Caenorhabditis elegans: one gene and its partners. The protein of the gene in region 1 binds, or shares a complex with, the protein of each later gene. Each region holds a gene or a part of one and is shown in the gene's direction. Other genes may lie near its edges. The genes, in order: rgr-1, cic-1, mdt-31 and mdt-21.

Region 1 (7,870 bases):
AAAAACTGAAGAATACGAAAGGATGCAGGAGAATGGCGCTCGTTCCCTCGGACGCTGGCAGTCTCCATCTCTCTGCGTCTCTTTACTTTCGATATCTTCCGGATTCCGAGGTCACTAACCATGAGCTTTTGAAATGACGTTGGGAGGGCACGTGGGGAAGTTCAGAGAGAATAACAAAGTTCTATAAAAGTATGACTTGACGGATATCGCTAATTGAAAAAAATTAGCTTTACTGACCATCAAATAAAATAAAATTATAATAAAGAACAACCACTAAAATAATAATAACATTTACTTAAAGAAAGTAAAAAATAAATAAAGTTTGATTGTATTATTTGACAGAAAAAATAATGGTCCTATTTGGACGTCATTGTCACATCATCGCTTCGAGTATCATCGCCCTGTATCGAATTTGTAGAATCCAATGACGATTTGCTTTTCTTCGACCTCTTCAGGATCCTATTCATTGTGTGACCATCGAACTTCATCGACTGCACTTTTGTCCAATTGGCACGGAGTCCAGGGAGAATTCTGTGGCTCTTTGTAGTCTTTTTCGATGCCGATGACACTGGACGAGCTGGAAAAATATAAATTTGCATACATTTACGCTTATTTGTAATATTTCTTACGCGGAATGAATCTGGCAGCAGACAGTTCAGTTCTCTGATCATCCATACGCGAGCTCATACTGAAAATGAGATCCATCATGTCTACGGGTTCCTCGTTCTCTTTCTTTTCGATCGCTACTGGTTTCTTCTGGTCTTCAATGATTCCGTTGACAATCATTTCCCAGGTTTCAACATTTGTTGCGTGCTCCAGTTTGACGACGAACTTATTAATCATGTCATTCGAGGATGTCGGATCAGGAGACGAATCAATTGCGAGGCATGCATCTTGATCAGTTGCCGTTTCGCTTCTCTCTTGATTCATCGCCACGTCGATCTGCTCGTAGAACAGTTTGAAACTGCTTTGGTTGATGGTCAGAACACTCCCCAAGATGATAAAATAAGCAGCTTGGCGTCTTTTTCCAAGTGCAATGAGACACTTTGCGATTGTAAGCAACACATCTCCAATGTGTTCGTTCAATCCAAGCTTCCGAATCGATACAAGCGCTTCCAATCCGTAGAGATATGCTTCGTGGAATTCGCCATTTCTCAGCATCTCTTCGGATAGCTTCGACTTATATTTGACTACATCTCGCTCTTTTCCGAATTTCGTGGCGTAGAAGAGAGCACTTCTGTAAAAATAGAATTGACATTTTTATTAATCGTTAAAACTAAAAATTACCTGAGATCTCTGATAATAAAGAAAAGAAGATATGTCTCAGCATAGAGAGCCTTGTCGTAATAGGCGATGTGAACTGCTTCAAACTGGTCTGTTTTGATGGCAAAATCGATGCATTCTTGATACTTGCGACGCGATTCCTCGTATTTTTCGTCGAGTGACAAGCATTTCGCCTCAATTAGCATAATTTTGGTCTCAGACACAGCTCCTTCCGTATTATTCTCGTTGAACAATTTCACGGCTGCAATCTGTTCAGCACATATTGACAAAAGCTTCTTCTTCTCATCTTGATTACTCTCGACGTCTCTTTCACATCCTTCGAGGCACACGGAAGCGAACAAAATTCGAGCTTGACCGATATACTTCTCTCCGTTCTTCTTATTGCTGGTGTAATCAATGAGATCCTCAGCAAACCGTCGAGCCTTGGAGAACTTTTCCATTTTGAGTGCCTGCTGGACGATGCGACGTGTGGAATCACATGCTTCTGGGTAGTTGAAGATCAATCTGAAAAATTAAAGTTATAGAATGCCCAGCCCATTTCCGTTTAATTCACTTACTTGAACATGTTCAACTCATGTTCGAAAAACTCCAAGGCCTTGGCGTCGTGGTTCAAATGCCTGCACACTCTTCCGTAATACATGTAGATTGTACCAAGCAGTTGAAAATTGGAGGTTCCGAACTCCATTGTGTCCTCTAAGCGTCCTTTTCCATCCTCGTATTGTCCCAATTTCATGGCCGTCACCGCGCTTTTCAGCATTGCTTCGATGACTTCATCCTTAGGGCCATCATAATAAGAGACGTCCATTCGTTTTGCGAATGTGGAAACTTCTGAAATAAATCGAAAATTGCGAGCAAAAATAAAAAAATAGAGGAATTTTACGCAAACAGACAAAAATTTCACGCGGATCTGCACGAATACACGAAATATTTAAAACGGGGAAAGTTTCTTCAAATATCTCACGAGGTTTAATAGACTATTACACATTTTGTTTAAAATTTTACAATTTTTCAATAAAACAACCGCTGAAAAACAAATAAACTTGAACAATGACTCGAGAATCTCTGTGGGGAAGTGAAACTTGGCGGTTAACGCGTTGTTTTTTCGCGCGCTCTCAACTTCTAATTTAGCGCCGCTTTCTGATATGTCGTCAAATGTGTTGCCGATGTACGCAAGTACACCATCACGCGCATTTGCACACTCAGTGGAGTTTGCAAACAAATTTTCAAAAATAAATTAAATACTGTTTATTGTTTAATTTTATGCATATTTGTACAATTTGAATGTTATAGTTTGATTAAAACTATTCGAAACATGTAAATAAACTTTAAATTTGTAAATGTGTCGCTTCCCAGACCGTATATTGTGTATTCTTCAAATAAATATGTATTTCGCAGAAACTGTCTTCCCAACTCCGAGCCGCACTGGCGGATAATTCGCCGGCTGCTCCAATATCACCGGCTCCATCTGGCTCGGCCTTGTCACTCGATGAGTCGTCTGGAATTTCAGACCGCGATGTACATTCTTCTCAGGAACAAACGGCACATCTCTCCGAAGTCGATGTAAAATCGATTCATTCATCGGATAGCGAAGATGGTATGCTGCAGTAGAACAAGGAAGATATTTATTTTCTATAATTTCCAGAACCAGCGCAAAATCCCTTACCAGAAGTTCCTGCAAATTGTGGCCCTCCGACGATACCTCTAAATGTTCTATTAGACTTTGCAATTCAACATGTTTACCACGAGATCACAGTTCTTGCGGAATTGATGCAGCGGAAGACAAATGATCAAGGAGAGCAGGAGCGGAAAATGTCTCTTGTACATTTTGCACACGCTACTCGCAGTCAATTTTTGAAACTTGTAGCATTAGTAAAATGGATACGGATTTCGAAGCGAATGGATGTTTGTTATGTAAGCTTAATTCGCTCGATTTCGATCGAAAAAAAAACATTAATTTTCCAGTCTATCGACTACCTTCTCGATCTCCAATCACAATATTTCATCGACACGGCCGATCGATTAGTCGCAATGACTAGGGGAGATCTCGAATTAGCTCGTCTTCCAGAATACCATATTGCGCCAGCTATTGATGTTCTTGTATTAGGAACGTATAATCGAATGCCATCGAAAATCAAAGAAGCTTTCATTCCTCCAGCAAAGATCACACCGAGAGAACAGAAACTCGTCACTTCCCGATTAAATCAGCTCATTGAAAGTCGGCTTTCTCGACTTTCAAGCGGAATCCCACCAAATATAAAAGAAATTCACATCAACAATGGACTTGCAACTTTACTGGTTCCTGGAGAGTTTGAAATCAAGATTACATTGCTCGGTGAAACAGAAATGACAAAGTGGACTCTATTGAATATCAAAATTCTCGTGGAAGACTACGAACTTGGAATGGGACTTCCTCTTGTACATCCATTACAGCTTAATCAGCTTCATGGAGTACTGCAATCTCGGATGAATGTTTCCTTAAATCCTATTAAAGAAGCTTTCTCCTTTTTGCACAGTTTCTGTGTTTCACTACAATTGGATGTTTTGTTTTGTCAAACTTCAAGATTGGCAGCTGGAAGGTTACGTGATAACATTACAATCGAAAAGTATGACCCAAAAGAACGAGTTTTGGTAGTTGGATACTGGGTTAAAAGATCGAAGAGTCGAAGATTAACTGTAGGACAAGTCAAATGTGATGCACAATACAGAGTTCAGATCTATGAAGATCCAAATGACAAGCTAGGTGGACTTAAAGTTCGTCATTTCCCTCATGCTCCTCAGCTCGGACGACTTGATTCTGGAGCTGGAATGTTGTCAATTGATCGACTATTATCAGAAACATATGTGGTCAGATGTAAGGAACGATTGATGCGGTTGAGAAGAATCCTTGAAGCTGCTGAACCAAGATTAGAAGTGAAGATGACTGGAATCTCTGCACCGTCACTTTCTCTTGCTCTCCTACCGGATACCTCTTCAAAGGATGAAATGATGACGGTATCTGTGAATTCATTCTGTGGAAAAGTGCTCTGCAACGTTCACATTCTCAGTGAGTTGTGTCGTTTCAAATTCCAGCATATTAATTTTAAAAAAATACTCTATTTTTTACCAAAATTATAAAAGAAATAAACTTATTCATATTTCAGGTGCTGAACACGAAGATGTCCTGGCTTTTGGAAAAGCTCTCTACAGTAGTCAATGTTCAGCGCACACAATTCAAATGTATCTTAGAAAACTTCGTGTCGCCCTCGTGATAGAACGATATCGACGATCAGTGAAAGCTCTTCCAGTTCGTGAAGTTCAAGAAGCTGAGCTTCTTCCATTTGCAAAGGAATGTCTTGGTGATGCTCCTGCCCAACGAATTATTCTTCAGTTCCTTCGATCTGAAGACTATTATCTGCTTGTCACATTCTCTCCCGATGAAAAAGCAGTTGTTAAGACTCACATTCAACTTTTGGAAGTTGTTGGAGACCGAGCTCAGTTCATTCAGTTGGAGGATGATGAGATGAATGGAATGCATGTAAAAGAAGCGATTAATCAAGGAACGATGCGTTTCTCGCCATCTCATAAAACATCACTTCAAGAAGAGTGTTCGAGAGAGCAGAGACTTGCATTTGCAGTGGCTACTGTAGAAGATCGGATCACGTACATGTATCTGGCGGCTGAATTAATGAAAAAGGGAATTGGAGTTGATGTGAGAAAAGATTCAGCACACGTTCCAGGAGGGCTTGCTCTACATATCACGGAGTAAGTTTTTTTCTAGATTTCGAGCACTTATATTAAAAATTGAGCAGCAGCGTCAAGAAAAAATTCTAAGGTTCGAAATAGTCTCAAGTTCAGAAATATCACAAAAGACAAACGAAAAAATCGCTTCAGAAATTTTTCAATATTGACTGAATTCTCGGTTTGAATTTCATCCAAGTTTTGAGAGTTTGATTTTTTATTCTTTCACAATTTGTTTTTCTTTTTTCTTTTGTGGTTTTATTTTTCTGAATTTGACATTATTTTGAATTTTTGAAACAAAATCCCCAATCTCGCTAAATACTTCATCTTTAAACATTTTCCGCCAGTCTTAAAATGTAATACTGCCAGTATTCATGATTTGAAAACAAATTGAGAAAATTGAAAAAATTGACTTTTTCAGACAAATTTTATTTCGTCCGAAACAATTTTTAAAAATCTTGTAATTTTCAGTGTGAAAAATGTTGTTCCATTCGAGGCAAGCGAATTCTTTGAATGTTGTATCAGATGCTGCCTTCGTCTCGATAATCGAAATCGCTACACATTCCAATTCGAAATGTGCTTTGAAAATATTCCATTGGTTCGAGACGTACCGCATGGTCTCCCACATCGTCGGGATGGTGAACCGGTACGTCATTTCTTATTTAATTTTAACTTAAATTCTCAGAAAAGATTGCCGTGCCGCCCGAATTATGATCGGTGTCGTATTGTTGTCGTTCTTAGAATATTAGAACAGATGAGAATGCAGTTTTTTTTAAAAATATATTTATTCTACTTTTTCGGTTTTGGTATCTATCCTAGCTTTTAGAAAATAGAATTTCCTGTGATGACACATTTAAATATTAGTTTTTGATTTCAGAAAGATCGCACCAGTAAGGTTAGTTTTATTGCTTCGGATTGTGCATGATATGTTGCTTTTGCATGCTTCTTGTCTAACCATTTATGTTTCCTCACTGAGAATATCGATTTCTTGATTTTTTTTGCAATAATTCCCGATTCTTGCAAAATTTTGAATCAAGTTTTCCGAAATTTTCATTCGGAAACAGGAAAACATTTTAAAGAAAAAATTCAATTCAAGTGGTTTTTCCAAGAAAATTTCCCAGAAAATAGAATTTACGCTTTTTAATTTATTAAAATTATACATATCTTAATACTCGATTTGGATAATTTACGTACTTTCGAGTTAATCTATTTTTTATACTAATTTTCAAGTTTTTTTCCCGCAAAATTTTGGTTTCTTGACTATTTTTACGGATAATTTTTTTTTAATCTTTCAGGAAACTAACATGTTTTTAAAAAAATTTATTTAGTTTATTTTGATGAGAAAAAACATATGAAAACATGTAATTTTCTACAAAAAAAATCAGAAAAATGAGCGAATTATCCTAACAACGAAATCTCGAAAAACCAAAATTATAGATTTAAAAAAAATCGAAAAATCGAAACTCTTGATTATTACTTCCGAAAACATTTGCATGAACCACTTATGCATACATATTTTTTTCTGCATGTGAAATTGCTCGGGAATAAATTTATTGGTTTTTGTCTTAAATGAATGAATTCTAGGTGAAAATGTTGAAGTTAAATAGCACCATTAAACTTTTTTTTTTATTTTATTAATTTTCGCAAACAAATATAACTTATTCACACACTCATTCACTAAACTCACCTGCCTCAATATCATATACCAATCACAAAAATCACAGCATTTTACTGCCTTGCTTTTTTTTTGGAATAGAATTTCCAAATAAATTGTCGCTTGTCCTTCTCCATCACAACTTCTTTCAGGATGCCACGTGGCTGCAGGAGCTCAATCATATCAATCAATCTTCGCCAGAAAAGCTAGTTGAATTAATCATCCATAGATTGATGCGATATCTGTACATGTACAAAGTTGTCCATCAATTCTCGTTGGCATATGAAAAACATTTCAAAAATTATTGTAATGTATGTTTTTTTTGAGAAGAATTTTTTTTTAAAGTTGCAATATTTTGTTTAAAAAAAAATTCTAATTAAGTGGAGATTTTTCTCAAAATCAAAACTGTTTTTTTCTATGTAGAAGTTTCTAGAATTTTTCAAAATTGTTTTAGGCTTTTCTAAATCATTTTTTTACTACAAACATATATTTAAATTCGAAAAAAAGTGGTTTCTTTCAGATTGAAGCGTATACATTCCATAAATTGGTGGTTTCTTATGGTGACAATAGAGATATGCTGATGATCCTTGCATTTAATGTAAAGTCCCAAGCTCCTGGATCCTCTGAAGATTTCTTCTTCTTAAATTTTGGTCAATCAATGCCGCATCGTCAATTCAATTCGACAGAAATCGATTGGCATCAGAAGCCACGTTGGAATCCACATTCAATGATGTCACAATTGATGAGAGATGATCTGAAAGAAACGAATGATCTTGTATTCACTATGCACTTTTTATGCGAAACAATTCGTCCACTCGTCGCTATCGGAAATTTCAGTCGAATTCGTTTTCAATCTCAGAAATCACTTTCACAGCTTATTGGACCAGATGTACATTTCCCATTCCGATTGAAATATCATTTATATGCTCTCGATCAGACGACTTTGCGGTTAATGCAAGGAAATGTAATTCTTGAAATTAAATTGCTCGAAGGCTGTAAAATTGCGGTGCGGGACGTTTCAAGATACCGTCCAAGATGTGCAGGCCTTTTCCAGTTGTTCTCGAATATTGATAGGTAACTATACACTAAATTCAGAGAATACGTATTGCGCAGCATTTTTGACGCGCTAAATACAATCACTACAGTAATCCTTTTAAAGAGTTACTGTAGTTTTCGTTACGAAATTGTTTTGCGTAATACACATTCTCAGAATTT
Region 2 (10,594 bases), 7.0 Mb from region 1:
CTATTATTGACATTGTCATTAACAAGGTCACAATAATTATTTGTTCTTCACCAATTTTCGGCGGCGGCGCAAATAACAGAAAAAAGTAGGTCAAATTCATTTCGTCACCTTATATTCCGTTGGTTTCAATAAAACAGAAGAACACGAAGGGTTTCGTACTGATAAGATGTGATAGTACATAATAACATTAATAAGAAATAAATGTACTTTTGGGGGGGAATTTTAAAAAAAAATTGAAAAAAAAAAATTTTTTTTTTGAAAAAATTTTTTTGAGTTTTTTTTTTTTTAAAGTACCATAACTTTTCTCATTTTTAAGATTTTTTTTATAATTTTTAAAGCAGATTGTAGATAAATATTTTATTCAAATAAAAAGTTACAATCGTACTAAAAAAATGTTGAAAATTTCAAAAAATAAAATTTTTTTTGGAATAAAAAATTTTTAGAAAAAATCCTATAACTTTGCTCATTTTTAAGCTATAAAAATGTTTTTTTAAACAAAACAAAGAAAAATCTTCGCATTTTTATTGCATTAATTAAGACTTAAACAAAAATAGGTCGGAATTTCAAATTTTTGGGAAAAAATTCAACTTACCAAATCGTGACGCCGAAAATGGGTGAGAAGCTTCAAAAAGTTGGCATTCATATTGATGGACATGTTTATAGACGAAGAAATTGGCTGGAAATCTGAAAATTTGAAAAAAAAACATTTCGAACAAAAATTTTCTGAAAAAAAAATTTCGAAAAAAAAAATTTTTTTCGAAAATTTTAAATTTTTCCTAAAATCTCCAATATACTAATTAGCACCTAACAAAGCCAATTTCACACTTTAAAACTCCCCAAAAAGCTCCTTTATACGACTTTTTCCAGCCAATTTGTACCACTTTTCTATTTGCTCAGTGACTACAGCGTCAAAAAGGTCAAAAAGGTGCGAATTTCTTATCAAATGATGATTTCTGCTCAGTTTTGCAAACAAAATTGCCGGATTTTCATCCAAGAAATGGGTGACTGTGTCATATTGGATAGTTTTCACTAGCACCCCCGCCAGACTCCGCCTAGTTTCGGGAAAAAGTGAAAGTTCAAGTGGTCAGAGGGATTGGAGACGGGTGAAATGTAGTTGACATAAACCTAAAGCAAATTGGAAGCATTTTGACACAAAAATCATAAACTCATGAGAAACTCTGAAAAATGAGCCAAATTATTATTAATTATTGTGGCTTTGCAGAAAAATTTCGATTTGTCTCGGTTTTAATGGAATTTTTTGAATTTTAACACAGAAGAAGGATTTTGACTACGTTTTGTTGAATTTTTCACAAAAAAAAACTTCAAAACCCCCTCTAAACTAGCCATAATCCACCAGCTTTAAAAAATCGATTTAAACTACCGCGTAAAGACATACAACGACACTCCGGAATCCCGCAGGCGCGTGTTCTTTACCGTAAATCCACACTCCGAATTTATTCTTATTTATTCGAATTTTCATCGATTTCACTCAATTTCCACTGTTTTTCTCGATTTTTTCATTTTTTTAATGATTTTAGTTGAAAAATGGCTTTAAATTTCTGGAAAAGCAGTCATTGGTAAGTAAATCCCATTGAAAAACCCAAAAAAATCCCATTTTTTCCAGCCAACAATGGATTTTCGATAAAACCGAGATTTGGAAGCAACGCGCCGAGGATATGAAGATTTATAACGAGGAAGAGTACAATCGATTGAATATTTTCTGGGCGAATTGTAATTTTTCCTTACTTTTTCCTCGAAAAAATCGATAATTTTTGGTTTTTTTTCAGTTATAACCGCCGTCGCCACAGAAGGAGCCCACTCACAGGCAAATGTTGGATGTAAACTCCGTCAACAGGTTATTGCAACTGCGATTATCTATTTTAAGCGATTTTATCTAAGGTTTATTCGGAAAAAAATGATAAAAAACCTGGAAAAACGTCGAATTTTTCAGGCAATCGTTCCGTGACATGTGCCCATTCCTCGTAGCCTCTACAGCATTATTTTTAGCGTGTAAAGTTGAAGAACACACTACGTTGAGCGTCTCAAGCTTTCTGAAAAATACAGCTATCGTTTGTGCGTTTTTACGACGGAAAAATTGCAAAAAATTGGCAGAAAAACGCGGAAATCCGGCTGAAAATTGGAAAATTTAGTGAAAAATAGGCTTTTGAACCGAAAAAACACCCGGAAAAAACATCAATTTTTCACTTAAAAACCGCTGAAATCCAAATTTTTCAGCTAGAAACTCTAAAAATCACCTCAATAACCAAAAAAAAAAAACAGTTTTTGAGTCAAGTTTTGTCTCAAAAAAATTTGAAATTCCACTCTTGCAGCTCATTTTCCGCTTATTAATCCAAAAAATCGCCTGAAAATCGATTTTTAAGCTGAAAAACTCGAAAAACTCGAAAAATTTGCCTCTTTTTCACTCAAAAATTCGATGCTTTCCTAAAAACGCCAAAAATAAAAAAATTACGGCCAATTTTCAGAAAAATTTAATTAAAAAAACTAAAAACGCCCAACTTACCAGAAAAAAACCCGTTTTAGTCCAAAAAATCGCCTAAAAATCAAATTTTCCACTTAAAAATTCGATTTTTCTGTTAAAAACGGTTAAAAGTTCAGGAAATACCCATAAAGACCCGTTTTAGTCCTAATATTCGTCTAAAAATCGTTTTTTGTGTGGAAAAATCGGATTTTGTCAATTTTTAACCTGAAAAATTCGATTTTTCGCTAAAAACGCCGAAAATTTCAAAAATTCGATAAAAAACTCGTTTTCACTTCAAAAAAATTGCCTGAAAATCTATTTTCGACAGAAAAAACCAAAATTTATCAATTTTCCACTCAAAAATTCATCTTTTTTTTGCTAAAAAAACCAAAAACTTAAGAAAATTTAATTAAAAACCCGGTTTACTTCAAAAAATCGCCTTAAATCAATTTTACCCTCAAAAATTCAATTTTTCTGTTAAAAACGCCAGAAATTGTAAAAAATTCGACCAAAAATGCGTTTTAGTCCAAAAATCCACCTGAAAATCAAATTTTCCACTAAAAAATTCAATTTTTCTGCGGAAAACGCCGAAATGTTCAGAAAATATTCATAAAATACCCCTTTTTAGTCCTAAAATCCGTCTAAAATGTAATTTTTCTGCTAAAAACGCTAAAAATCACAGAAAATTAGAATAAAAACCTCTTCTTAGGCCAAAAAATGGCCTAAAAATCAAATTTTCTAATCAAAAATTCAATTTTTCTTTTAAAAAACCAGTTTTTCAGCAGAAACAACAGAATTTTGTCAATTTTCCACTCAAAAATTCAATGTTTATGCTAAAAAATACCCAAAATTTCGAAAAATTCTATTAAAAACGCGTTTTACTTCAAAAAATCGCCAAAAAATCAAATCTCCCACTCAAAAATTCAATTTTTCTACTAAAAACGTCAAAAATTCGATAAAAAACCCGTTTTAGTCCAAAAATTCGTCTAAAACTCAATTTTTTCTACTAAAAATGCAAAAAATTTCAAAAAATTCGAAAAAAACCCGCCTGAAAACCAATTTTCCCCTCAAAAATTCGATTTTTCTGCTAGAAATTCTAAAAATTTCGAAAAATTCTATTAAAAACGCGTTTTACTTCAAAAAATCGCCAAAAAATCAAATTTCCCACTAAAAAATTAATTTTTCTACTAAAAACGTCAAAAATTCGATAAAAAACCCGTTGTAGTCCAAAAATTCGTCTAAAAATCAATTTTTCTCTCAAAAATTCAATTTTTTCTACTAAAAATGCAAAAAATTTCAAAAAATTCGGGAAAAAACCCCGTTGTACTCCAAAAAATCCGCCTGAAAACCAATTTTCCGCTAAAAAATTCAATTTTTCTACTAAAAATGCAAAAAATTTCAAAAAATTCGGGAAAAAACCCCGTTGTACTCCAAAAAATCCGCCTGAAAACCAATTTTCCGCTAAAAAATTCAATTTTTCTACTAAAAAACCCATAAATTGTCCGAAAAAACGCGTTTTACTTCAAAAAATCGCCAAAAAATCAAATCTCCCACTCAAAAATTCAATTTTTCTACTAAAAACGTCAAAAATTCGATAAAAAACCCGTTTTAGTCCAAAAAATCGCCTAAAAATCAAATTTTCCCCTCAAAAATTCAAATTTCGCGCCCCTAAATCCCTTCATTTTTCAGTGCCAAAACGATGGGGAGTGACATTTGAGACGACATCGACAAAAAATGGAGTTGTCTACGATTCCGAGTTTATTCTCGTTGAAATTCTTGATTGTTGCCTTGTTGTACATCATGCATCACGTCCAATGTTTGAATTATTAGAAGATTTGAAACAATTTACTCAACAATCAACTATTGCTAATCAACCTATTAAAGGTGCCCCCCCCCCCCCCCCCGGGAAATTTTTGATAAAAACTGTGAAAAATTGGAGAAATTGCGATTTTTCCAGGAAAAATTGGGAAAAAAATCGATAAAAATTGGAAAAATTTGAATTTTTTGAGAAAAAAAAAGGAAATATCTGAAATTTTTTAGGGAACAGTGGAATTTTTTTGATTTTTTTTTTGAATTTTTTGGTGAAAAAAATGGAAAATTGTGGAATTTTTAGTGAAAAATTGGAAAATTTTGAATTTTTCAGTAAAAAAGTGGAAAATTTGGAAAATTTTGAATTTTTAATGAAAAAATGGAAAATTTTGGAATTTTTAGTGAAAAATTGGAAAAATTAAATTTTTTAGCGAAAAATTCGATTTTTAAGTGAAAAATCTAATTTTTTTAGTTAAAAATTGGAAAATTTTGAATTTTTAGAGAAAAAAAAAGGAAATATCTGAAATTTTTTAGGGAACAGTGGAATTTTTTTGATTTTTTTTTTGAATTTTTTGGTGAAAAATTGAAAAAAAATTGGAATTTTTGGGTGAAAAATTTGGAAAAATTTGAATAATTAGGGGAAAATTGGAAAAAATTGGAATTTTTTAGTGAAAAATTGAAAAAATTAGAAATTTTGAATTTTTTTAATGAAAAAATGGAAAATTTTGGAATTTTTAGTGAAAAATTGGAAACATCGAATTTTTTTTGAATTTCTTAGTGAAAAATTGGATTTTTTAAGTGAAAAATCTAATTTTTTAGTTAAAAATTGGAAATTTTTGAATTTTTTGAGAAAAAAAAGGAAATATCTGAAATTTTTTAGGGAACAGTGGAATTTTTTTGATTTTTTTTTTGAATTTTTTGATGAAAAATTGAAAAAAATTGGGATTTTTTCGTGAAAAATTGGAAAATTTTGAATTTTTCAGTAAAAAAGTGGAAAATTTGCAATTCAATTTTTGAAGAAAATTTGATTTTCCCCTACAAAAAATATGCCAAAAATTAGGAAACCTCAATTTTTTCGAAGAATTTTTCGGAATTTTTTTCTTAAAAATTTAAAATGTTTTTAAAACAAAACTGAATTTTCACAAAAAAAATCCTAATTTTTCACGAAAAAATTCCAATTTTTTTTTCAATTTTTCACCAAAAAATTCAAAAAAAAAATCAAAAAAATTCCACTGTTCCCTAAAAAATTTCAGATATTTCCTTTTTTTTCTCTAAAAATTCAAAATTTTCCAATTTTTAACTAAAAAATTAGATTTTTCACTTAAAAAATCCAATTTTTCACTAAGAAATTCAAAAAAAAATCCATTTGTCCAATTTTTCACTAAAAATTCCAAAATTTTCCATTTTTTCATTAAAAAAATTCAAAATTTCTAATTTTTTCAATTTTTCACTAAAAAATTCAAATTTTCAAAAAAAAATTCCAATTTTTCACTAAAAAATCGAATTTTTCCAATTTTTCACTAAATATTTAAATTTTTCCAAATTTTCCACTTTTTTACTGAAAAATTCAAAAATTTCCAATTTTTTTCAATTTTTCACCAAAAAATTCAAAAAAAAAAAATCAAAAAAATTCCACTGTTCCCTAAAAAATTTCAGAAATTTCCTTTTTTTTTTCTCAAAAAATTCAAATTTTTCCAATTTTTTCAATTTTTCCCAAAATCATTCAAAATTTTCCAATTTTTAACTTAAAAATTAGATTTTTCACTTAAAAAATCCAATTTTTCACTAAAAAATTCAAAAAAAATTCGATTTTTCCAATTTTTCACTAAAAATTCAAAATTTTCCAATCTTTCACTAAAAAATTCGATTTTTCCAATTTTTCACTAAAAATTCCAAAATTTTCCATTTTTTCATTAAAAAATTCAAAATTTCTAATTTTTTCAATTTTTCACTAAAAAATCCAATTTTTCACCAAAAAATTCAAAAAAAATTCGATTTTTCCAATTTTTCACTAAAAAATCCAAAATTTTCCATTTTTTCATTAAAAAATTCAAAATTTCTAATTTTTTCAATTTTTCACTAAAAAATCCAATTTTTCACCAAAAAATTCAAAAAAATTCGATTTTTCCAATTTTTCACTAAATAATCCAAAATTTTCCAATCTTTCACTAAAAAATTCGATTTTTCCAATTTTTCACTAAAAATTCCAAAATTTTCCATTTTTTCATTAAAAAATTCAAAATTTCTAATTTTTTCAATTTTTCACTAAAAAATCCAATTTTTCACCAAAAAATTCAAAAAAAATTCGATTTTTCCAATTTTTCACTAAAAAATCCAATTTTTCACCAAAAAATTCAAAAAAATTCGATTTTTCCAATTTTTCACTAAATAATCCAAAATTTTCCATTTTTTCATTAAAAAATTCAAAATTTCTAATTTTTTCAATTTTTCACTAAAAAATCCAATTTTTCACCAAAAAACCTCCATTTTTTTGCAGATCTGGAAGCAATTGAAGCTCAATGTCAAAAAGTGGCAAATGATTCGCTAAGATGTGATGTTTCATTGATTTTTCCACCACATGTCATTGGATTATCAAGTATTATGGTTGCAATGGAATTAATGGGCCGTGGAGAAGAATTGGAAGCTTGGCTTGTCGAAGTTGACACTGATTTTGAAAAGGTCTCGGATTTCTACCGGAAAATTGAGATTTCCCGTGAAATTCTACCCAATACTCGAGAAATTTGCCAATTTTTAGAGAATTTGCAAGAAAATCCAGCAAATTCCGCGAAAATAGACAATTTTTTAAGCATTTTTAGCCGAAAAAAAGTTGGTGGCCTAACTTTTTTACTTTCTAGGCCACCAATAGGAATTTTCGAACATTTTTCTTTAAATGTGGAAAACCCCGAGTTTTTTAACCCATTTTGCCAATTTTCAGCCGAAAAATGATGGTGGCCTAACTTTTTGCAATTTCTAGGCCACCAATCGGAATTAAGGGAATTTTTGTGATTTTAGAAAGTCAAGAACGGAAACTTTGACATTTTTGGCATTTTCTTGAAAATTGAACTCAAAAATTGCAAAAACCTGAATTTTTGTGCAATTTGAGCTGGAAAATCCCCGAAAATCGATGCTTCTGTGATTTTCAGTGAAAAAAAACTGAAAAATCGAATTTTTCGGACCTTTTTACCCATGTGGCCGAGTTTTTTGGCTGATGGCCGAACTTTTGTAATTTCTAGGCCACCGATTGGGAATAAGGTCATTTTTTGAACTTTAACGTTTTTTTTTGTGTTTTTTACTGAATTTTTGATTAAAAAAATCGAGTTCTCTGCAAAATTTGAACCCAAAAACTAATTGGTAGCCGAACTTTTTGGTTTTCTAGGCCACGTGTCAAATTAATTTTCAAAAACTGGAATATTGCCCACTTTTTGGCCAACAAACCGAATTTTTAGTCGAAAAATCGGATTCTCGGTGGTTTTTGGAATTTGGTGGCCGAACTCTTTTGATTTCCTAGGCCACCAATCCGAAAACTCTGAGTTTTCGTTCAAATTTTGAAATTTTCGACGGTTTTTTTCGGCGGAGAATCGCTTTTTAATCGAACTCTGCATCTAAAACCGAATTCTATTCAGTTTTTGAATTTAAAATCAATTGGTGGCCCGAAATTGGATTTCTAGGCCACCAAATTTCTGAGCATTTTCCCCTGTGACTTTTGTGCCTCTACTCGTATTGTTTGCAGTAAAAATTGTATTTATTCACATTTTCAGTCATAAATTGGCTGAAAATGTGAATAAATACCGTATTTCTGCCAACAATTTGACAATAGAGCACATTTGTCACTCGGAGATGCGGAAGCTATGCCCAAATTTTCATTTTTCCCGGAAACTTTGGATTTTTATGATTTTTTTTCCAGGTAACCGACTGCGTTGAGCAAATCTACAAAATGTACACACTTTGGAAGTCATTTGATGAGAAAGAAGAAGTGAAGAAGTTGATGGCGAAATTGCCGAAACCGAATCAGCAACCGCCCCCGCAACAGCAGCATCAGCACCAGCAGGGATATCATTTGTAGAATTTTCTGGAAATTTTTTGTATTTATCGATTTTTTACTGTATTTTTTGTAAATATTTCCCAATAAAACTATTCCTTGAATTTTTCTAACATTTGCACCGATTTTCACAGATTTCCATTGCGAAATTCGAGCTCCCCGTCACTTTTTACGCCTAAACTCAAATTTCCAGGCGTTTGGCACTAAAACTCGCAAAGTTGTGCATTTTGTCGTAAGCTCTGCGGTGTTTGCGTACTTTTGGAGCTACCGTACCCCTCGAAATCCAAATTTTAAGCTAGAAACCTAGAAAAATGCTTGCCAGGAGTCAAATTACATGGAGAATCCGATTTTGATATTGATTTTTTGAAATTTTCAGTTTTAAGGCGTCGATTCTCAGATTCTTGAGGTTTTCCAACATTTGCACCGATTTTTACAGATTTCCATTGCGAAATTCGAGTTTTCCGCCACTTTTCATCCCAGAACCCAAATTTTCAGGCGTTTGCCACTAAAACTCGCAAAGTTGTGCATTTCGTCGTAAACTCCGCAGTGTTTGCGGACTTTTGGGGCTACCGTACCCTTCGAAATTCAAAATTTGAGTTAGAAACTTAGAAAAATGCTTCCCAGGGGTAAAATTACATGGAGAATCCGATTTTGATAATGATTTTTTGAAATTTTCAGTTTTAAGGTGCCAATTTTCAGATTTTTGAGGTTTTTGAACACTTTCAATTTTTTTCAGATTTTTGTCACGAAATTCGAGTTCACCACCACTTTTTACGCTTGTACCCAAATTTTCAGCCGTCTGGCGCTGAAATTCGCAAAGTTGTGCATTTTGTCGTGAGCTCTGCGGTGTTTGCGTACTTTTGGAGCTACCGTACCTCAAATTTTATGCTAAGTTTCTAAAAAATGCTTCCCAGGTGTGAAAATTGATGGGAAACTCGAATTTCGTATTAGTTTTCCGAAAAAATTAGTTTTAGGTTTCGAAAACACGAGCATTCGTGATGAGACCTGTTAAACCCGAATTTTGAGCAAGTACGCGGAGGCTAGTCAATATGGGACTCATTTTGAAGGGCTCAATAAGCTGAATTCAATTTTTTATGTGTGAAAAGCAGAAAATTGAGCAATTTTGAAAAAATTGGAATAATTTGTTAATAATTTTTTTGCAATATTTTTTTTTCGAATGTAAGCTTTTGTACATCTAAAACATCAAAACACAGTAGATTTTCTAAATTTTTTAAAAGAAAAAAAGCTTCTAAAAAACAAAGGGGAAATTCGAACAAATGTACGACGTAAAAGTATCGGATTTCTCTTGAAAATGAGTTAAAGCTCACTAGACCATGAAAAATGTTGTAAACGGCTTCCTGGCAAAAAGAAATTAGGTTTTTTGGCACATTTTTGGATTTGGGATTTGAAAAAAAAAAATTTTTTTAATTTTTTTTTAATTAAAAAAACAATTTTTTTTTGAAAATTTTTTTTTTTGAAAATTTTTTTTTCGAGATTTGTTTCAAAGTTTTTTGGCAATTTTTTCAGTTTCCAAATGAGCTTCATTTACGCTATAATAACCAAAAATGTTCGAGGAAAATAATAAGAAAATCCGCTGAAAAAATAAAAAATTTGGCCAATTTTCAAAAAAAAAGTGTTTTTTCTGTCAAAAATGAGTATTTTTTGTATTTTTTTTTTCACTTCATATTCAAATTTTTATTTAAATTTTTTGAAAACTATATATGCATCGTATTAAAAAAAAAAGTGTTTTAAGGAACAAAAAACAATCAAAAAATAATTAAAAATATTTTTTATCGAAAAAGTGGAATTTCAAGTCTTTAAACTCACATTTTTCAGATTTCCATGCCAAATTTGAATTCTCATTTTAATTTTACATCTAAAACATTTTTTTCCAAGCTTCTAGCTCAAATTTTGAATTTCGAGGGTTACGGTAGCCCCAAAAGTACGCAGACACCTGATTTCACGACAAAATGCACAATTTTGCCAAACTTGCTAGCTAAGCTTTGAAAAAACGAGGTTTAGTGCAAAAAATGACAAGAAGTTGGTGATATTTTCTTCAAAAACTTGCGGAAAATTGAGAAAATTCGGATTTCGAAAAATCTCCAAGTTTCAGTTTTAAAGCTAAAATTTTAGAATTTTATTTATAAATTTGAATTCCTTTTTATTTTTTGCGCCAGATACACGGTTTTTTCTAAATTTCTAGCACAAAAACGGCATTTCCAGGGGTACGGTAGCCCCAAAAGTACGCAGACACCTGATCTCACGAC
Region 3 (6,355 bases), on another chromosome or scaffold:
ATGGACTGCAATAGCCAACTTCGACGTATGTTTAAACTTTCATTAATTCAAAAACTTCCTGTTTGTGAAGTTTAATTAAATAAAACTATTATTTCAGTTCAAAGGCTCTAGAACGGAATGGGCGGTGAAATCGAAATGGTACAATGAATTGAATCCAAAGTGGAACAAAGAACATTGGTCAAATGAAGAAGTAGAAAAGCTGAAATACCTTCGAGAAAGTCCAAAGTTTGTCTCCTGGCCGATGCTGGCTCTGAATCTCGGTACAAATCGAACATCTTATCAATGTATGGAAAAGTACAAAACCGAAGTGTCTCAACATTCAAAGTGAGAAGCTCGTTTTCAAAATGTGTGTAATTTTGAATATTTCAGAGAATGGTCTCAAGACGAAGACACCAAGTTAATTGCGCTCACAAAAATTACATCGATCAACGGACATATTCAATGGGATAAAGTTGCACAATGTATGCCTGGAAGAACTCGTCAACAAGTCAGAACTAGATTCTCGCATACTCTCGATGCATCGGTTAAGCATGGAAGATGGACTGATCAAGAAGATGTGGTATGTATAATTAATGTAAATTAGCAGTAAAAACATCATTCCACGATTATTGTGTGTTGGAAATTTAAAACATTCATATTTAGATTTAAATTTTAAGCAATTAACAAACATATCGTTTAGCTTCTTGTCTGTGCAGTTTCACGATATGGAGCAAAAGATTGGGCAAAAGTTGCTCAGGCGGTGCAAAATCGTAACGATTCTCAATGCCGCGAACGCTGGACGAATGTGTTGAATCGTTCAGCTCATGTCAACGAACGGTTCACGCTGGTTGAAGACGAACAACTTTTGTATGCGGTAAAAGTATTTGGAAAAGGAAATTGGGCTAAATGTCAGATGCTCTTGCCAAAAAAGACATCGAGACAGTTGAGAAGACGATATTTGCAGTTAATTGCAGCCAAGTTGAGAGTGAGTTTTTTGGTTTTATTGTGAAAAATCTTTTTAAAAATTCACTTAAATAAAAGCAATGATTAATAAAAATTTCAGTTGGCTGCCGGATTCTGCAACGCGGTCGATGCCATGAAATCCGGAAGACGTGCTCCTGAAGAGGACGAGCTGGAGCAAGAAGATATTGTGGAAGCGGAGCAGATTCCAAATGAACTCATGAAAGAAGTTTATGAGAAATTCGCCAACGAAAATCCGGATATGAATGAGACTCCCGAAGAATTTTACAAACGTGTATCTGCCTTGGAGAGACCAGTAAGATCAAAAATAAATTTTTTAAAACTCATATTTTTATTATTACTATTATTATTATTATTATTGCAGGCCGCCGCTAGAATTCGAGCTCTGAAGAATAAGCCGGATTATCAAAAAATCCAAGATAAAATCAACGAAATTGTTCAAAAGCACAAAAATGCAGCCGAAATCGACAAAGAACTACACTCCAGTGAAATTCTCTCATCGCTCACAATCACGGAAGTGTTAGTTGAAAACCAAAAAAAAAACACCATATTTTAATTACATTTTGTTTTTCAGTGATGTTCGTTACATGATAGAAAGAAGCAAGACTTTGACGCGTTACTACGAGGCTCGACAGTTTAGAAAGGTAAATTAATTGTACAGAATATTAACCCATTGAAAAATGTTCAGAACGTGGATCAAATCGGATGTCGTGTTCGTCCGATTAAGATCGATTTGGATCCAGAAACAATGCCAACATTTGATCCAAATGATGCTGAAGATGAAAAGCAAATGGTCATTGTGGAGTCGTTGTGCTCTGTAATTCGTGCTCACGACGTAAAAGAATGGGGCACTAAGTTTTGGAATGAACATCGCTTCACAGCGCCGAAATACGCTAAAAGATTTGTGGAGAATGTGAGTCAGAATAGAGAAAATAAAGTTTAATGAAAATTCACATTAAAATTCTCACAGATGGTCATAAACAAGTCAAAAGAAGTCGCTGAATGGTATTTACATGTTAACTCAAAGTCATGCAATCAAAATGATGTACATTGCCCAGCCAAGTCAACTCTTCCTCCGACTGCTGCATCATTCGATCTTCACAAAATGCTTCAAAAAGCCCGTTCTGGATTGAATCGTCTTTCTGCTGAACACTTTTACCCTCTTGATGTCTCTCTGGCTCAACAATTCAACTTCAAAAACGACGAGAGAGAGGGCCTCGACGGAGACAGACGTATGCATATCGGGTTGTCTGATGAGGTCACCAATAGTAAAGAGTATGCGAATTTTTATGTAAGTGAATATATTATATTCTTATTTTTATTTTTGATAATTTTTCAGGCTCGAATGCGTTCGATTCTTCTCGAACCAATGCGTCTTGGAATTGCTCGTGAATCGTCGTCTGATGAAACCAAGCGGCTTGTGCGCTGTCTTGCAGAGGAACGCGCCTGCGATGAAGAACAACAAGTTACCTGTGACCAAATAAGACGACGCCGGATGCCTGATGACGAGATCTATGTTACTCCAACTTCAATCTCTAGAGAACTAAATGTAAAGTTTTTTGCGTTGTCTCCACTGCTAGACGTTGTTTTTTTTCAGAACGGCATGAAAATCGATACCACCGAGTTGTTGGCTAATCTGGACAAGAATTCTGCGAAGAAAATCAGAATGAAAAGGAAGATTGGAGAGGTGAGATGTGACACTAAAATTAAACTTTTACCCCTAGTAATCCTTGCGGTACTATTATCTATATTTTTCTCATAGTCCTCAATGAAACAGTATATTTTTCAGACCGTTGCGACAGTTGCAGCGCGTCCTGCTCGTCCACCGCGTTCATCTGCAGGTACACCCACTCCAAGTCACGTCTCGATCGATACGGAGAGTAATATTTCGCTCAAAGTGGAGTTAGATTGAATATTCTATTATTGAACAATATAACTATTTTACCCAACTCTATGTCATCCTCTCCTGTGCAGTTTTACATCACTTTTTTAAACTGAACCCATTAAAAGTTGATCTCCTAAGATTATTTCACTTTTGTTTTATTAACAATCTCAGCTCTTTATGAACACCATCTGTTAAATTTGTTTTTCTTTTTCTAATAAAATGGTTTTATAGGCATGGGTCGTTTTAGTTTCAATCGATACGGTATGTTTCCATTGGAATAATATATTTAACTCATTTCGTAGTACGGATTTCACCGTATAGGTGAAAAAAGGTCATAATATCAAAATTTTGTAAATTTCTGTAATTTTTCGAAGCTTGAATTCCATTTTTTTTTCTTCAGGCTACAATACAATGCAGATGGAGAGTGTAGAAAGTGAAAAGACGAGATTTGAAGTTGAATGTGAATTCGTGCAGGCTCTTGCAAATCCAAATTATCTTAATTGTGAGTTTATTCACATACACTAGCCGAGAATAGAGAAAAACGTATTTTTATTCTAAGTTTCTTGTTTTTTTATGCACTCTTTTTCCTGCAAATTTCATATTTTCCAGTTCTCGCGCAACGTGGTTATTTCAAAGAAGAATATTTTGTCAACTATCTCAAATATCTTCTCTATTGGAAAGATCCTCAATATGCCAGATGCTTGAAATTTCCTCAATGTCTGCACATGCTTGAAGCACTGCAGAGTCAGCAATTTCGCGATTCGATGGCTTACGGTAGTTCAAATTTTATTTAATCTATCAGAAGAATAGTAACTTATTTTCAGGACCAAGCGCGAAATTCGTAGAAGATCAAGTGGTTCTCCAATGGCAGTTTTATCTTCGGAAACGGCATCGTTTGTGTATGATGCCTGATGAGGGACAAGAGCTTGAAGAATCTGAAGATGAAGCTGATATTCGACAAAAGGACACAGAGGATGAAGATGATGAGGAAACGATGAAGAAACCGGATGCTGACACAGCCGAAAAGAATTCCACAACTTCTACCGTTTCAAAGAAAGAAAAATAAACATAAAAAATGTAAATCAAATAAAACTTCATCACCACTTTATTGAAATTGAAACCTACATTTTACAGAACCGTGAATTTTTTCGAAGCCTGGACAGAAATCAGAGAATATTTGGAAAGTTAGGTTAAGATTTTACTTTCTATTCGAAAATCTTGTATTGGGAACAATTGTAACGTCGTTGACAAATGTCTGATTACGGAAAGCTGTTGTCTCGAGTAGAGTAGAGTCGTCGTTGCTGCATATCTCTTTCTTCTTCCGGCTTGTAGCAGCACGGAATTCAGTTGTAGAAGTGAAAAAATTGATGAAGAAACTACGATAAGAAGCAGCGAACAGATCACGGTCCTCGGGCTTGATAGCGGGGAATCCAACTGGAACAGCACGAAGAACTTCTTCATCGGAAAATTGGAAAGATGTGAAGTCATGACCATCGATTAGTTGATGCTGTCCTGTGCGAACTTCTAGCCTAAATAATTTCAAATGTAATACCATTTCATCTGTATTCAAATTAACAATCGAAGTCTGGTTCGCATGGTTTCTTCACCCCAAACGACATGCACAAAGAATTTGGCTCCAGGAAGAATACGTCGCTGGAATGAGGATGTTGTTGAGGCTGTCGAAAGCGAAGACGATGTACGAAAATTGTTTTCATCGTGAAGATCAATATAAGATGAGTCGATGCGAATGTCAACACGCTTATCCGATTTTTTCTTTACAATGAAACCGGGTGCAGGAAAGAAAGCTACACATCCGTCTGGAAGCTGTCGCATCGCTGAGTCGAACACTTTAATCATCGCAAAGCCGTCTCTGAAAGAAATTGTTATGTAAGCGTCGTCTATTTAGCCTACCTTGTTCCTGCAGAGTTGCTGATCTTAAAAGAGATTCGTTTTGCGCATGAGGTGCACATTGCATACTCTGACTGATTTATAGTTTGTTGCAAATCTGGCGAAGTGGGCACGAACTTCGCAATTCCACCATTACCCCACATCGGAATCTGAAGAAAACATAACTTTATTATGGCTTTTGAAAAATGTATCGAATATGTTTCATAGTCAAACATAGGCAAACACACACATGTGCTTGACACGATGACATCCAATTCCATCAAATTTTTGAAAAACATACCTTATGTATAAAATTTTGTGCCGGTACTTCGATACTCATAATAACTTGATAACGTCCGACAGAACTAGGAGAAAAGGATACTTGAAACTTGATACTCTTTTTTGGATCAACCATAGTTAGCTTGTTGTCAAGGATTTGATAAACTGGTGTGGTACTATCCGTACTGGCTCGAACAAGACACTGACGATCGGAAATGTTTTCCACTTCGACTTCAACTCTCAATGTCTCGCCGACTGCAACACAACCGAATGCCACGCGTTTAGCATGAATTCGCAATGGCTTTGATACTCCAGAAAATGTGGATCCTGCATATACCGTCGAGGTCGAAGAAGCACGGGACATTGTGCGCACCGAACTGACCGAATCCCGTCCATCGCGTCCATGGGACAGTGAAACATTGCCATTATTGGCCGGAATGACGGTAGAGACGGATGTGTTCGAAAAACCACCACCATGATTACGAGATGAACGACTAATATCCGTCCTTGCAGTGGAGATTGTGCTCAAGATACTCGTCATGCTTGCTGTATTAGAATTAGTGGCATCTGCCATTGATGCATTCTGCCTAAAAGTCTCCATCGCTTTTCGGCTCGTCGTCAAATCTTTGGATGATGCTGCAGTTGTGTTGTCGTTGGACGTCGAGGATACGACATTTCCAGAATGTCGTGCAGATGTTGGCTTTATAGGAACACGAGTTCGCGTAGTGTTTCTGAAAGAAAAAATTATAAAACTGAATTTAAAAACGCACTAACTTTTTCAACTTAAATAAACATAATATTACTTAAACCGCGATTTTACGAATTTCAGGAAAAAAACTATACTTTTGTATAACGTTACAAATTGTTTTTCGGAATGCTTACATTCTGAAATCTGGCTTCGACGGTTGAGCAGCTCTTCTTTTACGAGCTTCTTCTAATGCTGCGAACAGATCTTGATTCTTATTGTTTCCATTGAGCACTCTTCGAACCATTGACTCATTAATAGTTTGATTTGTCATCATTGTTTCAGAATGTGCATGCGAATAAGACGAAGTCGGCATCTGTTGTCCCGTAGAGATTGATGTATTCTGGTGTTGTGGACTACCAACGTAGATGCTTGATAAATCGAAATTAGGCCCTTGGTATTGACCGATTTTCCGATTAGTTGCTGAAAATATTGTCGTAACAAAGTTTAAATTGAAAGTCTCACGTCTTTTAGGAGTGCTCGTTTTCTCGTCGTGATTTGTGGAATTCATCGGTGATGTGATAAATGCCGATTTATCAGATGTTGTCGGCACATTTTCGTCATTATCCCTCTCCACGATTTCGTTGTCATTGGCTCCT
Region 4 (4,626 bases), 2.4 Mb from region 1:
GCCAATTTTCATTTCAAAAATTCGATTTTTCCTAGAAAACCACCTAAAAAGTCGCAAAAAACGAGGATTTTCAGGTTTTTAACGCAAAAAATCCAATTTGCTCCGATTTTCCCGAGAAAAAAACCCTAAAATTTCAATTTTTGCAGGAAGGCGACCCAGTGTCATGTTTTTAGCCAATTTTCGTTTAAAAATCCGATTTTTCATCCAAAACCACCAAAAAAAGTCGAAAAAAAAATAATTTTTCCTTGAAAAATTCAATTTTTTCCGATTTTTTCAAATTTTCAGATGTTTTTAGCCAATTTAAATGCTATTTTTCATTAAAAAAAACCCATAAAATTTTCAATTTTTTCAGGAAGGCGATCCAGTAACCTCCCATTTGCTTCCATCTGGCAGAGTTCCAATTGGTCACGTATTCCTTCGCGGTGACAACGGCCCAGTTTCAACAGATTCCAGACATTTCGGCCCGGTACCTGAAGCCCTTGTTCAGATAAGGCTCAGCCTGAGAATATGGCCTCCAGAGAGAGCCGGATGGATTTCTGATCATTGGTTTTGGGATAAAAGTGATAGAAATGCAGAGAAATAGGCTTCTTTTTCAGTGTAATTATGTGCTTTTCCACCCTTTTTTCCTGGTTTTTGTCTCACTTTTTTTTTTGCCATAAAATACTATTTTTCCATGTTTTTCTACTTCCATTTTCTATTTTTTTAATGGGTTTTAACCCTATTTTTACCTGAAAAAAACACTTTTACAGCAAAAATTCCATGAAAACTATCAATTTGAAGCCAAAAATCCAATTTTTCATCAGAAAACTCTCTAAAAAGTCGCTAGAAAACTAGAATTTTTGGTTTTCAGCGCAAAAAAAATTCAATTTTTAATTGAAAATTAAAAAAAAAATTAATTTTACTCATTTTTTATTCATTTTTATCCGATTTTCAGAGCCTTTCGACCAACTTTTCATCAGAAAACTACCAAAAAAGTATCAGAAAGTATGGATTTTCAACGCAAAAAATTTAGATTTCCATGGTAAAAAGTTGAAAAAAAAAATCGATTTTCACTCCATTTTAATTCATTTTTATCCGATTTTCTCGAATTTTCAGAGTTTTAGCCAAGTTTCGTCTAAACAATTCAAACGTCTACTAGAAAACCTCCTAAAAAGTACCAAAAAACGCACAAAATCCGGTTTTTTATTAGAAAAATACCTTAAAAATCGCAGAAAATAAGGATTTTTTTTAGTTTTTCAACTCAAAAAAATCAATTTTTCTTGGTAAAAATTTGAAGAAAAAAAATAATTTTTATCCGATTTTCTCAAATATTCAAAGTTTTTTAGCCAATTATCTTCAAAAAATTCAAATTTCTACTAGTAAATTCCTAAAAAGTTCCAAAAAACGCATAAAATCCGGTTTTTTATCAGAAAAATACCTTAAAAATCGCAGAAAATAAGGATTTTTAGGTTTTCAACTCAAAAAAATCAATTTTTAATGGAAAAAATTTGAAAAAAAAAATGAATTTTCACTCCATTTTAATGCATTTTTATCTGATTTTCTCGAATTTTCAGAGGATTTCGACCAATTTTTATACGAAAATTCCAATTTTTTATTAAAAACTACATTTCAAGCTCATTTTCAGCCCAAAAACTCTTGAAAATGGCTGATCGAATGACCCAACTACAGGATATGATTAACGAAATGGCCGGATTAATGACAAATGCGATTGGAGTGCTCCAGGCGACTGCTCCGCCATGTGAATTTGGAGCAATTTCACAGGAGCTTGAGGATGAGCCAAATTGCGCGATTTTTGCCGCTGGAATTGCAAAAGCCGCTAAAAATATTGAGGTTTTCTATAGAATTGAGCATTTTTCGGCCAAATTTTCAGAAAATCCTAAGCAAAAAGCTTCAGAAAAGCTGTTTTTCTCGTTTTTCAAACTATTTTTAGCCTGTTTTAACTCAAAAAATTCCAGAAAATTCCAGGAAACCCTAATTTTTATTCAAAAAATTACAAAAAAATCCTCATTTTTACCCGACAAAAATTTAAAATTTGTATTTTTCTATTTTTTTTAACTGAAAATTAGATTTTTTTTTGAAATTTTTGTGAAAAGTGGATTTTTTTTTAATTTTGAGTTTTTTTTAGTTTTAAATTAAATTTTTTTCGGCTGAAAATGAGGATTTTTGTAATTTTTGAAAATTATTGTTTCCTGGAATATAAAATAGTTTGAAAAACGAGAAAAACTGCTTTTCTGAAGCTTTTTGCTTAGGATTTTCTGAAAATTTGGCTGAAAAAATTAATTTTACAATATTCAGCCAAAAAATTTCAGAAAAATTCAATTTTCGGGTGAAAATTTGAAAAAAATTGTGAAAATTCGATTTTCCGGGTGAAAAATGAAGAAAAATCGAAATTTTTCTTTAAAAAAATTCAAAAATCCACATTTTTAGCCGAAAAAAAAAATTAATTTAAAATTTAAAAAAACTCAAAATTAAAAAAAATCCACTTTCCACAAAAGTTTCAGTAAAATTAATTTTCAGCCAAAAAAGTACAGAAAAATCCAATTTTTATTGAAAATTTTAAGCAAATTCTCATTTTTGCCGAAAAAATCGTGATTTCTACCCAAAAAACAGCAAAAAAAATCCAATTTTCTGTCGAAAAATTCAATTTTCGGGTTAAAATTTGAAAAAAATTGTGAAAATTCGATTTTCCGGGTGAAAAATAGAACAAAATTAATAATTTTCTTGAAAAAAATCTCAAAAAAATCGAATTTTAGGTCGAAATTCTTTTGAAAATTCGATTTTCTGGGTGAAAAATGGCTAAAAATCGAAAAAATTCAATTTCCAGCTTAAAATTTCGGGAAAAAACCAATTAAATAATTTTCAGATCCTCATCGACTCATTCCCAATCGAAGCGGGCAACCAGGAAGCGGAAGTCGAGGAGAAAATGATAAAAAACGACGAAAAGCAGCGAGAAAAAGTGAATGAGCTCGTCGGACTCGTCGGCGACAGCAATCGGCTCGTCGGAGTTGTTCAGAAGAAGCTTGCCGAGATTTCAAAGACACAAATGAGCTCGAGACCCAGTGAATAATTATTATATTTTGCCGATTTTTGCCGATTTTTTATTGTAATTTTCATCATTTTTCCATTATTTTGGGCCGATTTTCTGGTAAATTGAGAAAAAAAAATCAATTTTCTAGTCCATTTCCTCTTGACAATTCTTTAAAATCCAGAAAAAATTGCCTAATTTGCTGTGAAAATTTCAATTTCATATCGATTTTCATGTTTTTTTTCCATGTTTTCAGCCGATTTCCATTTTTTTTTGTGATTTTTCCTTAATTTTTCGATTTTAAATCAACTTTTTTTCCATTTAAAATCGATTTTTCATCCCTTTTTGCCCCTGAAAATAGTTAAATTCTAATTAATTTTCCCCTATTTTTCTTGAAATTTTCGATTTTTCTCATTTAAAATCGATTTCCACCACTTTAAATAATTAGAAATTCCCAGAGAAAATTGATTTTCATAGCAAAAAATTATTTTGGGCCGATTTTCCCGGAAAATTGAGAATTCTAAATCAATTTTCTAGTCCATTTCCTCTTGAAAATTCCTTAAAATCCAGAAAAAATTTTGCCTAATTTTCCGTGAAAATTTCAATTTCATATAAACTTTCATGACTTTCTATTAAAATTGGGATTTTTCCCATTTAAAATCGATTTTTCAACCCTTTAAAATATGTCAATTTTAATTTATTTTCATTCATTTTTTCCCATTCAAAATTGATTTTCTACCCTTTTTTCTACTGAAAATTTGCTAAATTTGAAAAATTGTGGGTAATTTATCTTTTTTTTTTTAAATTTTTTTCCTCAAAAATAATCATTTTTAATTCAATTTTCCCCCATTTTTCTAGAAAGTTGCCAATTTTTCCCCATTGAAAATCGATTTCCACCACTTTAAATAATTAGAAATTCCCAGAGAAAATCGATTTTTTTTCAAATTTTTCCCTTGAAAATTCCAAAATTTCTTAAATTTCGAAAAACTGTGATCTCTTTTTCTTTTTATTTAATTTTTAACTGTTTTCTGTATTTTTGCCCATTTTTTACACTTTTCCCCCAGAATTTGGGTATTTTTAAATTTAAAATTTGATTTTTTTTTTAAATTTAATACTCCTCATTTTCCTATTCTATTGGCAAAAACCATGGTTTTTTATCTGAAATTCTCTTAAATCTAGCCTAAAACCCTAGCAAAACCACTTCCAGATGGCCCAGAGCACACAAGAAGCAGAAGGAGAGCAACAGAGGCGACAAGCTGTGCTCCGGGAGCGATATTTGAGCTTTTTGCAGGTGAAAATTGGACATTTCATCTACAAAACCTCTCAAAAAATCGATATTTTTGGTGAAAATCTGAAAAATTCAGCGAAAATTTTGAAAAAAGCCACCGATTTTCTCATTTTTCAAGTCTAAAAACTGAAAATTTTCCAAAAATCCCAATTTTTGTGCCATTTTTCCCCGAAAATTCTCGAAAAATTCCAGAAATCCGCCGACAAGCCAGCCACCATCGAAATGTGCGAACGAACTACGGTCACCGCCACAATTAAAGCATTTCAACCGTCTTCGGAGCACGTGATCGTCGGTACGGTGGCCGTGGCCTAGG

What was found.
Region 2: rgr-1 (region 1) and cic-1 share a complex: the UniProt entries of both Caenorhabditis elegans proteins name them as parts of the mediator complex.
Region 3: rgr-1 (region 1) and mdt-31 share a complex: the UniProt entries of both Caenorhabditis elegans proteins name them as parts of the mediator complex.
Region 4: rgr-1 (region 1) and mdt-21 share a complex: the UniProt entries of both Caenorhabditis elegans proteins name them as parts of the mediator complex.

Annotation. Positions count from the first base shown.
Region 1 is NC_003281.10:9,391,053-9,398,922, forward strand, and holds the start of rgr-1 (Mediator of RNA polymerase II transcription subunit 14), read left to right. Parts: upstream 1-3,051; coding exon 3,052-3,195; intron 3,196-3,246; coding exon 3,247-4,327; intron 4,328-4,424; coding exon 4,425-5,025; intron 5,026-5,472; coding exon 5,473-5,647; intron 5,648-5,878; coding exon 5,879-5,896; intron 5,897-6,807; coding exon 6,808-6,966; intron 6,967-7,175; coding exon 7,176-7,729; intron 7,730-7,870. Other genes in the region: gpr-2 (G-protein regulator 2), read right to left, coding at 357-577, 630-1,237, 1,288-1,788, 1,842-2,089. UniProt on the Caenorhabditis elegans protein: Component of the Mediator complex, a coactivator involved in the regulated transcription of nearly all RNA polymerase II-dependent genes.
Region 2 is NC_003281.10:2,392,160-2,402,753, reverse strand, and holds cic-1 (Cyclin-C), read left to right. Parts: upstream 1-1,532; 5' UTR 1,533-1,545; coding exon 1,546-1,577; intron 1,578-1,624; coding exon 1,625-1,731; intron 1,732-1,787; coding exon 1,788-1,899; intron 1,900-1,951; coding exon 1,952-2,073; intron 2,074-4,168; coding exon 4,169-4,363; intron 4,364-6,785; coding exon 6,786-6,967; intron 6,968-7,097; exon of another isoform or gene 7,098-7,147; intron 7,148-8,192; coding exon 8,193-8,351; 3' UTR 8,352-8,429; downstream 8,430-10,594. Other genes in the region: Sterol 4-C-methyltransferase strm-1, read right to left, coding at 593-655. UniProt on the Caenorhabditis elegans protein: Component of the Mediator complex, a coactivator involved in regulated gene transcription of nearly all RNA polymerase II-dependent genes.
Region 3 is NC_003279.8:8,963,052-8,969,406, forward strand, and holds mdt-31 (Mediator of RNA polymerase II transcription subunit 31), read left to right. Parts: upstream 1-3,062; 5' UTR 3,063-3,078; coding exon 3,079-3,106; intron 3,107-3,245; coding exon 3,246-3,347; intron 3,348-3,454; coding exon 3,455-3,619; intron 3,620-3,669; coding exon 3,670-3,911; 3' UTR 3,912-3,950; downstream 3,951-6,355. Other genes in the region: snpc-4 (snRNA-activating protein complex subunit 4 homolog), read left to right, coding at 1-25, 98-324, 370-559, 680-964, 1,043-1,255, 1,325-1,479, 1,535-1,604, 1,649-1,873 and 4 more; spd-2 (Spindle-defective protein 2), read right to left, coding at 4,044-4,374, 4,422-4,715, 4,757-4,902, 5,034-5,742, 5,894-6,179, 6,222-6,355. UniProt on the Caenorhabditis elegans protein: Component of the Mediator complex, a coactivator involved in the regulated transcription of nearly all RNA polymerase II-dependent genes.
Region 4 is NC_003281.10:11,776,003-11,780,628, forward strand, and holds mdt-21 (Mediator of RNA polymerase II transcription subunit 21), read left to right. Parts: upstream 1-1,618; 5' UTR 1,619-1,641; coding exon 1,642-1,830; intron 1,831-2,863; coding exon 2,864-3,067; 3' UTR 3,068-4,126; downstream 4,127-4,626. Other genes in the region: immp-1 (Peptidase S26 domain-containing protein), read left to right, coding at 353-583; C24H11.5 (Gem-associated protein 7), read left to right, coding at 4,233-4,316, 4,506-4,605. UniProt on the Caenorhabditis elegans protein: Component of the Mediator complex, a coactivator involved in the regulated transcription of nearly all RNA polymerase II-dependent genes.